Linked DNA regions of Arabidopsis thaliana. The protein of the gene in region 2 purifies or fractionates together with the protein of the main gene of each other region. This does not show direct contact. Each region holds a gene or a part of one and is shown on either strand. Other genes may lie near its edges. The genes, in order: AT2G43460, AT2G32220 and AT3G45930.

Evidence for each region.
Region 1: the proteins of AT2G32220 (region 2) and AT2G43460 fractionate together in Arabidopsis thaliana (co-fractionation; one large-scale study listed by BioGRID). This does not show direct contact.
Region 3: the proteins of AT2G32220 (region 2) and AT3G45930 fractionate together in Arabidopsis thaliana (co-fractionation; one large-scale study listed by BioGRID). This does not show direct contact.

The regions. Positions count from the first base shown.
Region 1 is NC_003071.7:18,045,659-18,049,420, forward strand, and holds AT2G43460 (Ribosomal L38e protein family), read right to left. Parts: upstream 1,744-3,762; 5' UTR 1,635-1,743; coding exon 1,632-1,634; intron 1,268-1,631; coding exon 1,084-1,267; intron 650-1,083; coding exon 627-649; 3' UTR 307-626; downstream 1-306. Other genes in the region: AT2G43465 (RNA-binding ASCH domain protein), read right to left, coding at 2,074-2,133, 2,220-2,374, 2,443-2,536, 2,652-2,777, 2,866-2,984, 3,052-3,139, 3,223-3,280, 3,358-3,406 and 2 more.
Region 2 is NC_003071.7:13,677,192-13,680,167, reverse strand, and holds AT2G32220 (Ribosomal L27e protein family), read right to left. Parts: upstream 1,259-2,976; 5' UTR 1,224-1,258; coding exon 816-1,223; 3' UTR 645-815; downstream 1-644. Other genes in the region: PRORP1 (proteinaceous RNase P 1), read left to right, coding at 1-10, 110-230, 305-376, 462-560; AT2G32210 (cysteine-rich/transmembrane domain A-like protein), read right to left, coding at 1,614-1,659, 1,775-1,913, 2,061-2,091.
Region 3 is NC_003074.8:16,881,218-16,884,573, reverse strand, and holds AT3G45930 (Histone superfamily protein), read right to left. Parts: upstream 1,259-3,356; 5' UTR 1,185-1,258; coding exon 873-1,184; 3' UTR 565-872; downstream 1-564. Other genes in the region: AT3G45920 (Protein kinase superfamily protein), read right to left, coding at 1,703-2,123, 2,235-2,392. UniProt on the Arabidopsis thaliana protein: Core component of nucleosome. Nucleosomes wrap and compact DNA into chromatin, limiting DNA accessibility to the cellular machineries which require DNA as a template.

The DNA.
Region 1 (3,762 bases), 4.4 Mb from region 2:
AATTTTTTCAACTCTGAAGCAATAAATTTGACTTTTAAAGGCGTTTGGGCCCATTACGGAAACAACAAGTAATTAACAAGAGAACAGAGAACCGCATAGAGAGAAAATGTTAAGATCAAGGAAGATTCACCAAAGGCCAACAAATATATATACCAAAAAGCCCAAGCTCCAATTGGGCCTGGTCCCCATGGATTTGATTGTTTCGAATAACAACAACACCTCAAGCATGATACTGCAAATTTGGTGCTATCATGAGGTTTTTACATGTTTTGAGACTATTATGCTATAATTCAAATGATATGTCGAAAAGTATATAACCTAAAATCGTAGTTAGTGCTAAGATCAAGGAGTAATTTGGTTATGATTCATTTAATGAATGTGATTGTTATTATAAATGATGGAGAAGGTACCAACTCTCAAGTCTGAAAATAAAAATCCAAATTGAATCCAGAGTTGAGAACGTATTTGGTTTTTCAAACTGAATTAAATCCAAAACACACTCAAACTCGAAAAGTCTCAACATAAATTTAACGACACAAAATAAACTCTCCTAAGGAAATTATAAAATGATGCAAAGGATTCGTCACCAAAGGAACTCCAATCTGCAGAAGAACTTTGCTTCATCTTCAAAGGTCTTGTACACTCAAACCTGAAAAAGTGCAACATAGTCCACACCTCAGAACACGCGTACAACAGATATGAGAATGAAGATACTTTTCAAAAACATAGTAACATACTAAAGCCAAAGCAAAGCTGGGTTTAGCAATCAAATGCCAAACTCAGAAAAATTTACAACGGAAATTGTGTGATGAAGAAGCTTACTTTAACGTACATAAATACTTAGCAAAATTCAAACAATGAAACTCAAGGCACAGCTATATTTAAAGTCCATATAACATAATGAATCCAATAATGTTGAATGTTGCAATACACACGCAATGTAATTAAGCAAAGACAGGTTGTTTCGAACCCATATGCCAAACTCAAATTTCATCAAGGTTTTAAAATGATCTAAAGTGTGAGAATTTATGCAGTGTAGTAGAGAACAATGTAAATTGAGCAGAGTTAAGAAGAATAAAAAACCTGGAGGAAGAGACTGCTTAAGCTTGTCGGCTTTCTCTTGGTCAAAGACGCAGAGCGTGTAGAGGTACCTCGAGCATCTGACCTTAAACTTGACAATATCCTTGCTTCTCTTGATCTTCACAGATCGTGCATCTTTCCTTCTAGCTGTCAGAAGGAAGTCCTTGATCTCGTGGATTTGCTTAGGCTGCAAACATTAATCAAATTAATCAATCAAAATTCAATACAAGATTCAATAATCCCAACCAATCAAAAGTTAATCACATGATAAGCAGACACGAGCTCAGCACATCAAACACATTAAGCAAACTCTGACCTAGGTTTTTGGTTAATTCACTAAAACCTACACGTTTCACTATATCCTAAACAAAGTAAGAAGCAATAATCAAAGCTGAAAATGATACAAAAATCTACATTTTTTGAGAAAACTCTTAAGATACAGGAACAGCTCTACTACACTATGAATGATTGCAAACGAGCTATGAAAACCAAATCATAAGCATCCATGACGGCGATATGAAACGAAATCGAAAGACCGAGAAATATTGTACCATTCTCGAATCTGTTGGTTGAAACTAGCCGCCGTCCACAGAGAGAGTCGAGCGAATTCGCCGTCGCGAGGATATAAAGAGATCTCTTAAAAACTTTGTATCAAGAAGCCCTAATTCGTAAACCTGAAATTCCATATTTACCCTCTGGACGATTTATCAAACAATGGGCTTTAAGGCCCAATCATATATCGCTTTAATGTCCCTTCACAGTTTTGCCCAATTTACAGTTTGTCTTAACACTTTGGTCCTCATATTTTCTTTTCATACCCTAATCATAACAAGATCAACCACAAAATCCTTCTTAGAAAAAAAAAAAATTTGATTTTTTTTGTCACAAGAAAAGAAGCGTTACAAATTTACACTTGTTGAAAGAAAAAACGATTCAACTACAAGAGAAAGTTCACAAAGTCCTAAAGACACAGAGATGTTTACAGGTGCGGTCTTAATGCTTCCAGGCCATGGAGTGACCATCCTCCATGTAAGGCTCAAGAAATCCAATGAACTGCCAATAAAAATAAACAGCAACAAAACAATTGATGATCAGACACGTCTGAAAGATACATACTTCAAGTCTCAAAATATACATACTTTGGTTCCATCTCGAGACCAACGTGCTCCATAGCCTTGAGCTACTCTTATCTCGAACACTTCACCATGTGGTGGAACGATATGTATGTTCATCCAACAACAATTGCCAATGAACCGATTGATTATGTCCATTGCACGCTCATTTTTATCTGAATCTGAGAAAAGGAAGAGGAAGACTCAATTATGGAAATGCATCAGTGTCCTGCAAAAATTTGTTACTTACCAGTTCCCTGAAGAACACCCCAAAATCCATCGCTACTTCGATCAACATGCTTGGCTAATGCTCTAGCTCCATGGCTCAATCTACAACCTTTTATCTCAACAATAGGAAAAAAGAAAGATTCTAAATTTGATCTCACACAACACAGCTTAACCATTCCCCAAAAGATTCACTACGATGTCTCTCGAACTATATCTTAGTTTTTGTGGTACCTTTGGCTTATATGGAAGCATGAATGAAGAGAGTAGCATCGATCTAGGAGGAGGCAGAGCATGAAAAATGGATCCAGTTGTGTGAGATAGACCGAGAAGGTTTTGCACGCCAGTGTAACTCAAGCCCTGCCATTTAAATGATGTTTTTGTAAGAAACATTGAATAATAAGAATCATAAATCACAAGGAGAAGGCTGAGAAAAACTTGAACTCACAGACAGTATGTGAGCCAAAGCAACACAAGGCTGAGCAACTGATTTACTAAGATGGATTGCCACAACACCATTGAAATTCTCTTGATCCGTATCATATAACTTCCTAAACATTTGCATACCTAAAAAAATTTGAAATCTTTGAAACAGAAGTTAATGGCTAAGGATCAGACAAAGAAAAAAGCTTACCTTCTTCCACTGTTTTAGTGCCAGGAAACACTTTCTCTGAACTCTCGGCTTTCAACAGCTCGTAAAAGGATGCATATTGGTGAAGTTCCTATATATCAACATTTAAGAGAATCAATCACAAGAAATCGTTTGCAGGAACACAAAAGCATGATGTCGGCAAATATATCTCACCAGAACTTCAAACATTAGACATTTATTTATCATAACCATTGAACCTCCTCTCCGAATTCTGAGGAAACCAAACAACATTTGTGAACACAAGAGACACAGAAGTAATCCAGCTCAATAACTTTTCACTTCTCCTACCTATCATACTCTTCTTCAAAACACCTTGCTTCAACTGTTTTGATGCCATCTAATATATCCATTTAAATTAAGCAACCCAAAAATCTGATCAAGAACTCTTACCACTTGATATTGACATTGCCAAGCTAAAAAGAGGAAGTTTTAACCTTTCATGAGGGAGAATAAGGGCTCTTGAACTTGAAGCTCGGAAAATACATCCTTCAAGGCCTGTTAGAATATTGCAAAGTGAACAAAACTTTTAACAATCAAAAGCAAACCAAAAGCTAAGCATCGATGACTCTGATTACCCCAGTACCAATGTTGCCTTTTGAAGTATAATCGACTATGACTCACTCACATTGACTAACTCAGAACCCTTTTGATTTATCAGCTTGCTCCACTCATCTTCTTTCTCCTTCAACCGGA
Region 2 (2,976 bases):
ACGATGATTGGTATTTGCATTTGCCTTTTTTTCTGGGTCTATGAATTACATTGACCATGAATAATCCAAAAAAGACAACCATTTCTTATGTGAAATCAAATTGTTCTAGGTATTGGCTTTACGCTGCGGTAAGTTGCAAATGTTTGTTAGTAACAAACGATGAGATGAGAGACCATCTCTTCCAGTTACTTGGAAATAGTTTCTTCCCAAGGTGGAAAGAGAAGCATCAGGTAACATATAATATAAGAGTCTATGTAATGTATATACATAAGCTTTTGATTGATACTGGATTCAATGTTTGCAGGTTCGGATCTCTGTCACTAGAGAAGATGGACTCAAACTTAATATGCCACCTCCATACTCCATTGTTATACAGGTCAACACTCACATTTCTATGTCCATCTCAATGTTTTCGTATGCATTTTGCATTAATGATGATGATTGATTGATGAATGATGCAGGAGTCTGAAGATGGAACCTGGCATGTACCAATGAGCGTAGAAGATGATCTCCAAACATCAAGGCAATGGTTATGCGCAAAAAGATCCAAAACACCTTGAATTTTTTTAATCCTTGTTGTATCATCTGACATTGATTCTTCATTTCTTAATAAATTTGTGTTTCATTAACCACAAGATTGAAAGAAATGTCTCACAATGAAGAGTTACTAGAAAGATTAAAACTTTAACCATCAAAATTGAATATATATTACTGAAATTTAGAACAAAACATAACCTTGAGCTAAACCAGAAGCAAAAACAATTCATGGTAGATAAAAATTGAAACTTTAAAACTAAAATTAAAAACTGTAGAATTCAAAACCTAAGCTTGGTGAAGAACCATCTGTTCTTGCCAGTCTTAAACCTCTCTTCAAACTTCGCCTTCGCTTCCTTAAGAGCCGTCACTTTCTTATCCTTGGACGAGATCGCGTCGGCGGAGACAACGTTCTTCAGATCCAAATCAAGAGTGTAGCGCGTAGGCATCACGTGCTGGTAATTGATGACCTTGAAGAAGCATTTCACGCGCGATTTCTTAGCCGTCTTCTTTGCCGAATCCTTGCGAATGACTTTGCTTGGGTACTTCTTCAATCCGGCGACGAGACAGTGACCGTACTTCTTCTCAACGGTACCGTCATCGAAGGATTTCACGATCACCGCCTTTTTACCGGTGTATCGTCCTTGTAAAAGGATCACGGCTTTTCCTGGCTTCATACATTTCACCATTGTCACTCTCTTCTCTGTCTTTCTCTCGGCGCTTCCTTGGATTCTAGGGCTTTATCGGGAGATATTTATACGCATCGATTTGTTCATTATTTGCATTCTAACCCCAAGAGTTTTAATTGTTTATAACTTTGGCTTATATAGTGTTATTAAATTGATTTTAAGTCCACGTTGACTAACCGGTAATAAAGTCAAAAATGTGAATCTAGCGTGGTTTAGAAGATGTCTAAGAGAAAACAAACGATATATTAAGAATTTATAAAATTACACAATGCAAAAGAAAGAGTGATATAGAAATGAATTAACAAATAGAAGTACCAAATGTCATAAACCTAGTCGAATCATTTTGGTAAAGCAAAATACAAAGATAATCAAAATAAACCATCTAAGTCTTCAGAAGCATGCGTCGAGGACACAACAACAACACATGGCCGCAAGACTGCATTCAAAAAATGAAAGAAAACAAATTAATCAATGCAACACACGATAACCGAACCGGTTTGATAGTTAACCAAACGTGCATGCCTGGTTTATACTAGAAAAAGAAGACTAACCAGCCTTTTAAGAATCCATCACCCTTGGACTTTGTCTCCACCGTTGCCACCGTGGCATGACTTGTGTCGTTCGTTGGGTAACCTAGCGGTGGCGGTGCCACGTAAGGGCCGGTAGACACTGGCGGCGTAGGATAAGCTCCTATAAGTTATTCATATTTCACATTAGTCTTATTACCATTTAAAAAAGTACTTACTACTATGAAACTGCAAATATGATTATAACCATGAGAATATTGACTAAACATATGGTCTGATGCTAAATTAGTACGAAGAAAAGAATACAAACCTGAAGATTGGTTTTGGCTGTATTGACTCATCTTGGAACAGATAGATTGTGATTTCTCTTTGAAAACAAGTTAGAAGAAAGTAGTAACAAATGTAGAGAGGTGTATGATTATGAAATGAATTGAAATATGCAAATGAAGATAGAGATATATATATAGAGAGGTAAGGGAAGTAAACGAAGGTCGGTTTAGTAAAACCGCGTGAGGTCAAAAAAAAAAAACGCGTGAGGTCAGATTGCATTAACTGCTAAGTCTCCAGAAATTTATTCTCTTGAAGAATAACAATGTGTTGATTTTTTCTCTTAATAAATATCAACAAAAAGGTAAGATGCTATCGATTTGGTCTTTTAATTCGTTGTTCTCTATTTACAAAAGTATACGAATTAGAGAACCTTATATATAGAATATGTAAAATGATGATAAATGCAGCATGGTTTTATATTTTTCTTGATTTAGTAATAATAAAGAGTTTTTTTATTCTTTCTCAAAGCAAAAAGTGTACTTCTTTCTCCATGGGAATATTTACATGTTAAGCAAAAGAGAGAACAATAATTAACGCTTATATTAACTAATAAAAACTAACAAAAGTAGATCAGAATATATATGTTATTAGAAGTTATGTTTTACACAAACGGATCTTAGATAATAGTTTGAACCATAATAATTTTACTTGAATCGCTTTATCTCGTCCAAAGTGCGTGTTGTTATTAGAGTAAAACTTTATTTTCGAGAGAGCACATGAAAGTTTTCTTATGAAGAAGAATAATTGCTGGTTTCAAATTAGGTGGGAATATAAACGCAAAATGTGATTTAATTTAGCGTATCTAAATCTAATTCCAGAAATTTAAATGAACAACAATTGACAGTTTTGGGCACAAAGTAGAATAAATTTTACTATTACAAACTAAGTTGTAATAA
Region 3 (3,356 bases), on a different chromosome or scaffold from region 2:
GGTTTGTGTTTTGTGTGTTGGGCCATAAGTGATGAGATAAGGCCCATACGAATAAGTGTTTTGTTGTTGTCTAGTTAAGGTCCAACATAACGAATAAGTGTTGTGTTGTTACTTGTTAGTCTAAGATAGAGTCATGTTGTGTAAGAGTGAATTAAGGAGTTAGGAGTTCCAACATAGTAGAGTGGCTGATGTAAGTCTTAGGACAGTGATGTGGTCTAGAGTCTAAGTGTGTGTAGTGTAGCAAGTGGAGAAAAACCACTATATGTATGTGTGTGTTTATGTTGTGTAAGATTATCCAAGATATTAACAATGTAGTCTTAAAAGTAAATGTGTTCTTGTTCTTTCTCTCTAGAACAAGTAAACCAAAAACAGAACAAGAGATAGAGAGAATGTGAGAATCACAACAATTATACATATAGTTGTTCCTTTGGTTGTTTCTTGGGTGCTACGTTTTTATGTGTCTTCCAAGTCTTCTTGAGGCCATGTCTTTTGTTAGTGTAACACTATTGTGATCAAGTATTAAAATACATATTATTCTCCAACAAATGGACCAAAGACATAGGGGTTTAATTTGGTTGGGGTTCACGGCAAACCCAATTTGATACTAACCCGATCTAAACCGATCCGGTTATTATTTCTGACCAAGACATTTGTACTTGTGAGATTCACTAATTTTGATATTGCGTCGTGTTCAAAGGATACTAAACAAGCATCGAGAAACTGAAATTACTAAAAGTTTGCAACAACACCTTCAACAATCACGAAATTGCAACAACAACCTTCAATTCTTTAATTTTTTCGAAGTTAACACCAAATCCTGAAAATTAACATCCTAATAAACGTAGAAACACAAAAAACAACAATCAAAAACCCTAGCCGCCGAATCCGTAGAGAGTTCTTCCTTGTCTCTTAAGAGCATAAACAACATCCATAGCAGTCACCGTCTTCCTCCGAGCGTGCTCAGTGTAAGTAACGGCGTCACGGATAACATTCTCCAAAAAGATCTTGAGAACGCCACGTGTCTCTTCGTAGATCAGACCACTAATACGTTTAACACCACCTCTACGAGCCAATCTCCGAATCGCCGGTTTAGTGATTCCTTGGATGTTGTCTCTCAGAACCTTCCTATGACGTTTGGCTCCACCTTTGCCCAAACCTTTGCCTCCCTTTCCACGACCTGACATTTTCTAAAGGAACTTGAATTTTTCTTCGGAAATTTTTCGATTTGAAGATTTAATTGAGATTGAGATGATTTGAGAATTTTGTTAAGAGGAGATGTCATTTATATACAAGATGGATCTAATTGATTTGAACCATCAGATGTGTTTTTAGATCTAACGGTTGCAGATAACGATCCGGGTGAACAATGAGATTACTTATTAGCCGTTGATTTAATTTTATCGACGCTTAATATTGTCGATCCCCGTGATGCCTGTAAGTGAAAGTTTATGAAATTTTCAAATAAGCGCCACGGATTGAGGAATATAGCGCCAAATTCTTTTCACCGTTACTAACGAAATTAAATCATCATAGAACAAAAAATTTCGTTATAACATTTCACATATATATATTACGAACGGGTAATATTCATATTTAACACAAGTAAATAAAACAAAATTATTTCACAATGGTTAACTAATAACATAAAGTTATACATCGAAAGGTTTGGTTTATGTCACATTAGAGAAGATCCACGTATATACTATCTTGCCTTAGGCTTCACATCAGTATCAAAGGTCACAGTCACATTAAGCTGATCCGAGCTATGACCAGAGTCCATGTTTTGATTATTCCTACTTATCCTCGTGTTTTCAGATGCAAGACACTCTTTAAGATTGATGATTACTTGAGACATGTTTGGTCGTTTGACTGAAGAAGGATTTGCGCATGACATTGCTACTTCAAGAGCTCTCCAGACAGAGTGGGTGTCATAGTTTCCGTGAAGTTTAGGATCCACAATTTGACTAGTATCTCCTTTCTTGATCACAAATGTAACCCATTCTGCTATGTTAGGGTTTTCACGGGTTTGATCAATCACTCGTTGGTTTGTGATAATCTCTAGTAACAAGATCCCGAAACTGTAGACATCACTCTTCTCGGATAACTCACTTGTTAAGTAATATCTGTAAAGGCAAGAAAATGGAGTGTGATTCATATTTAATCTACAATTCTCTAACCACTTGAAACAAATGTAACATATTTAGACCATGATGCAAAATGATTAAAATGCTTACTCGGGATCAAGGTATCCTAGAGTACCAACAACAACTGTTGAAACTTGAGGTTGATCGCCTCCAACTTGAAACGATCTAGAGAGTCCAAAATCCGAAATTTTGGCCTTGAACTCTTCATCCAATAATATATTTATACTTTTGACATCTCTATGCACCATTGCTGGTTTGCATCTAGTATGCAAGTATTATAATCCTAATGCAGCTTCGCTAGCTATTTGCAATCTGGTATCCCAATTTAAAACAGAGCCACCATGTTTCCTACATATCAAAAGATTTTTATTATCAAGTTTAGATCAAGATGAAGTCATGATTTATATGGGAGGATATTGAACTAATTACTATAATATAATTAAACTTAAAAAGAGTATTAAACCATTGCTGGGTTTCGATTGGTGACAAAGCATCGACTTCTTATATGTACTAAAATTTCATGTACAGCATTTTAAAATATAAATGTAACTAGATCATACAGTACGGGCATTAATATTGTATAAATTAAATTGTATATTTTGTTTGAATTACATAAAAAATAGTATAATATAAAAGTGATATCATAATATTTTTCAATGTTTTTACTATTTGCATATAATGCTGCATTGGATTGACTTTGTTTAAAAATATTATTTTTATAATAAATACAACATATGTAGTTTTAAGTAAATGTGTAAAAATTTTATACAAGTTGTTTTGGTAAGAAACATGTTTTCTTTGTATTAGATGATCTAATTTTTGGCCTAACTTAGAATTCGTCTTTGTATAGTATTTTGGTTATATTTGTGGACCTAATTGGGGCCTATATTAGATTATCTTTGATAGAGCTGACGAAAAAACGGATCCGATAACCAACCCAATATCCGAACCAAAAAACCGGGTTAGGGCGGGTTAAAATTTTAGGAAATTCCTTATTGGGTAGAGTTTTAGTAAACCCGTGGATATCCGACTGGTCCAGAAATTACCCGTTACCCAAAAAGAGTATTCAAAAACCCAAACATTAATTTAATATCCAAAATATTAATTATATTTAATCGTAATATTATCTAATTATCTAGGATTATAATTATAAATCTAAATATGTCAATTAATTTTGGACCTAAATATCCAAAACAACTAAACTATTCAAAA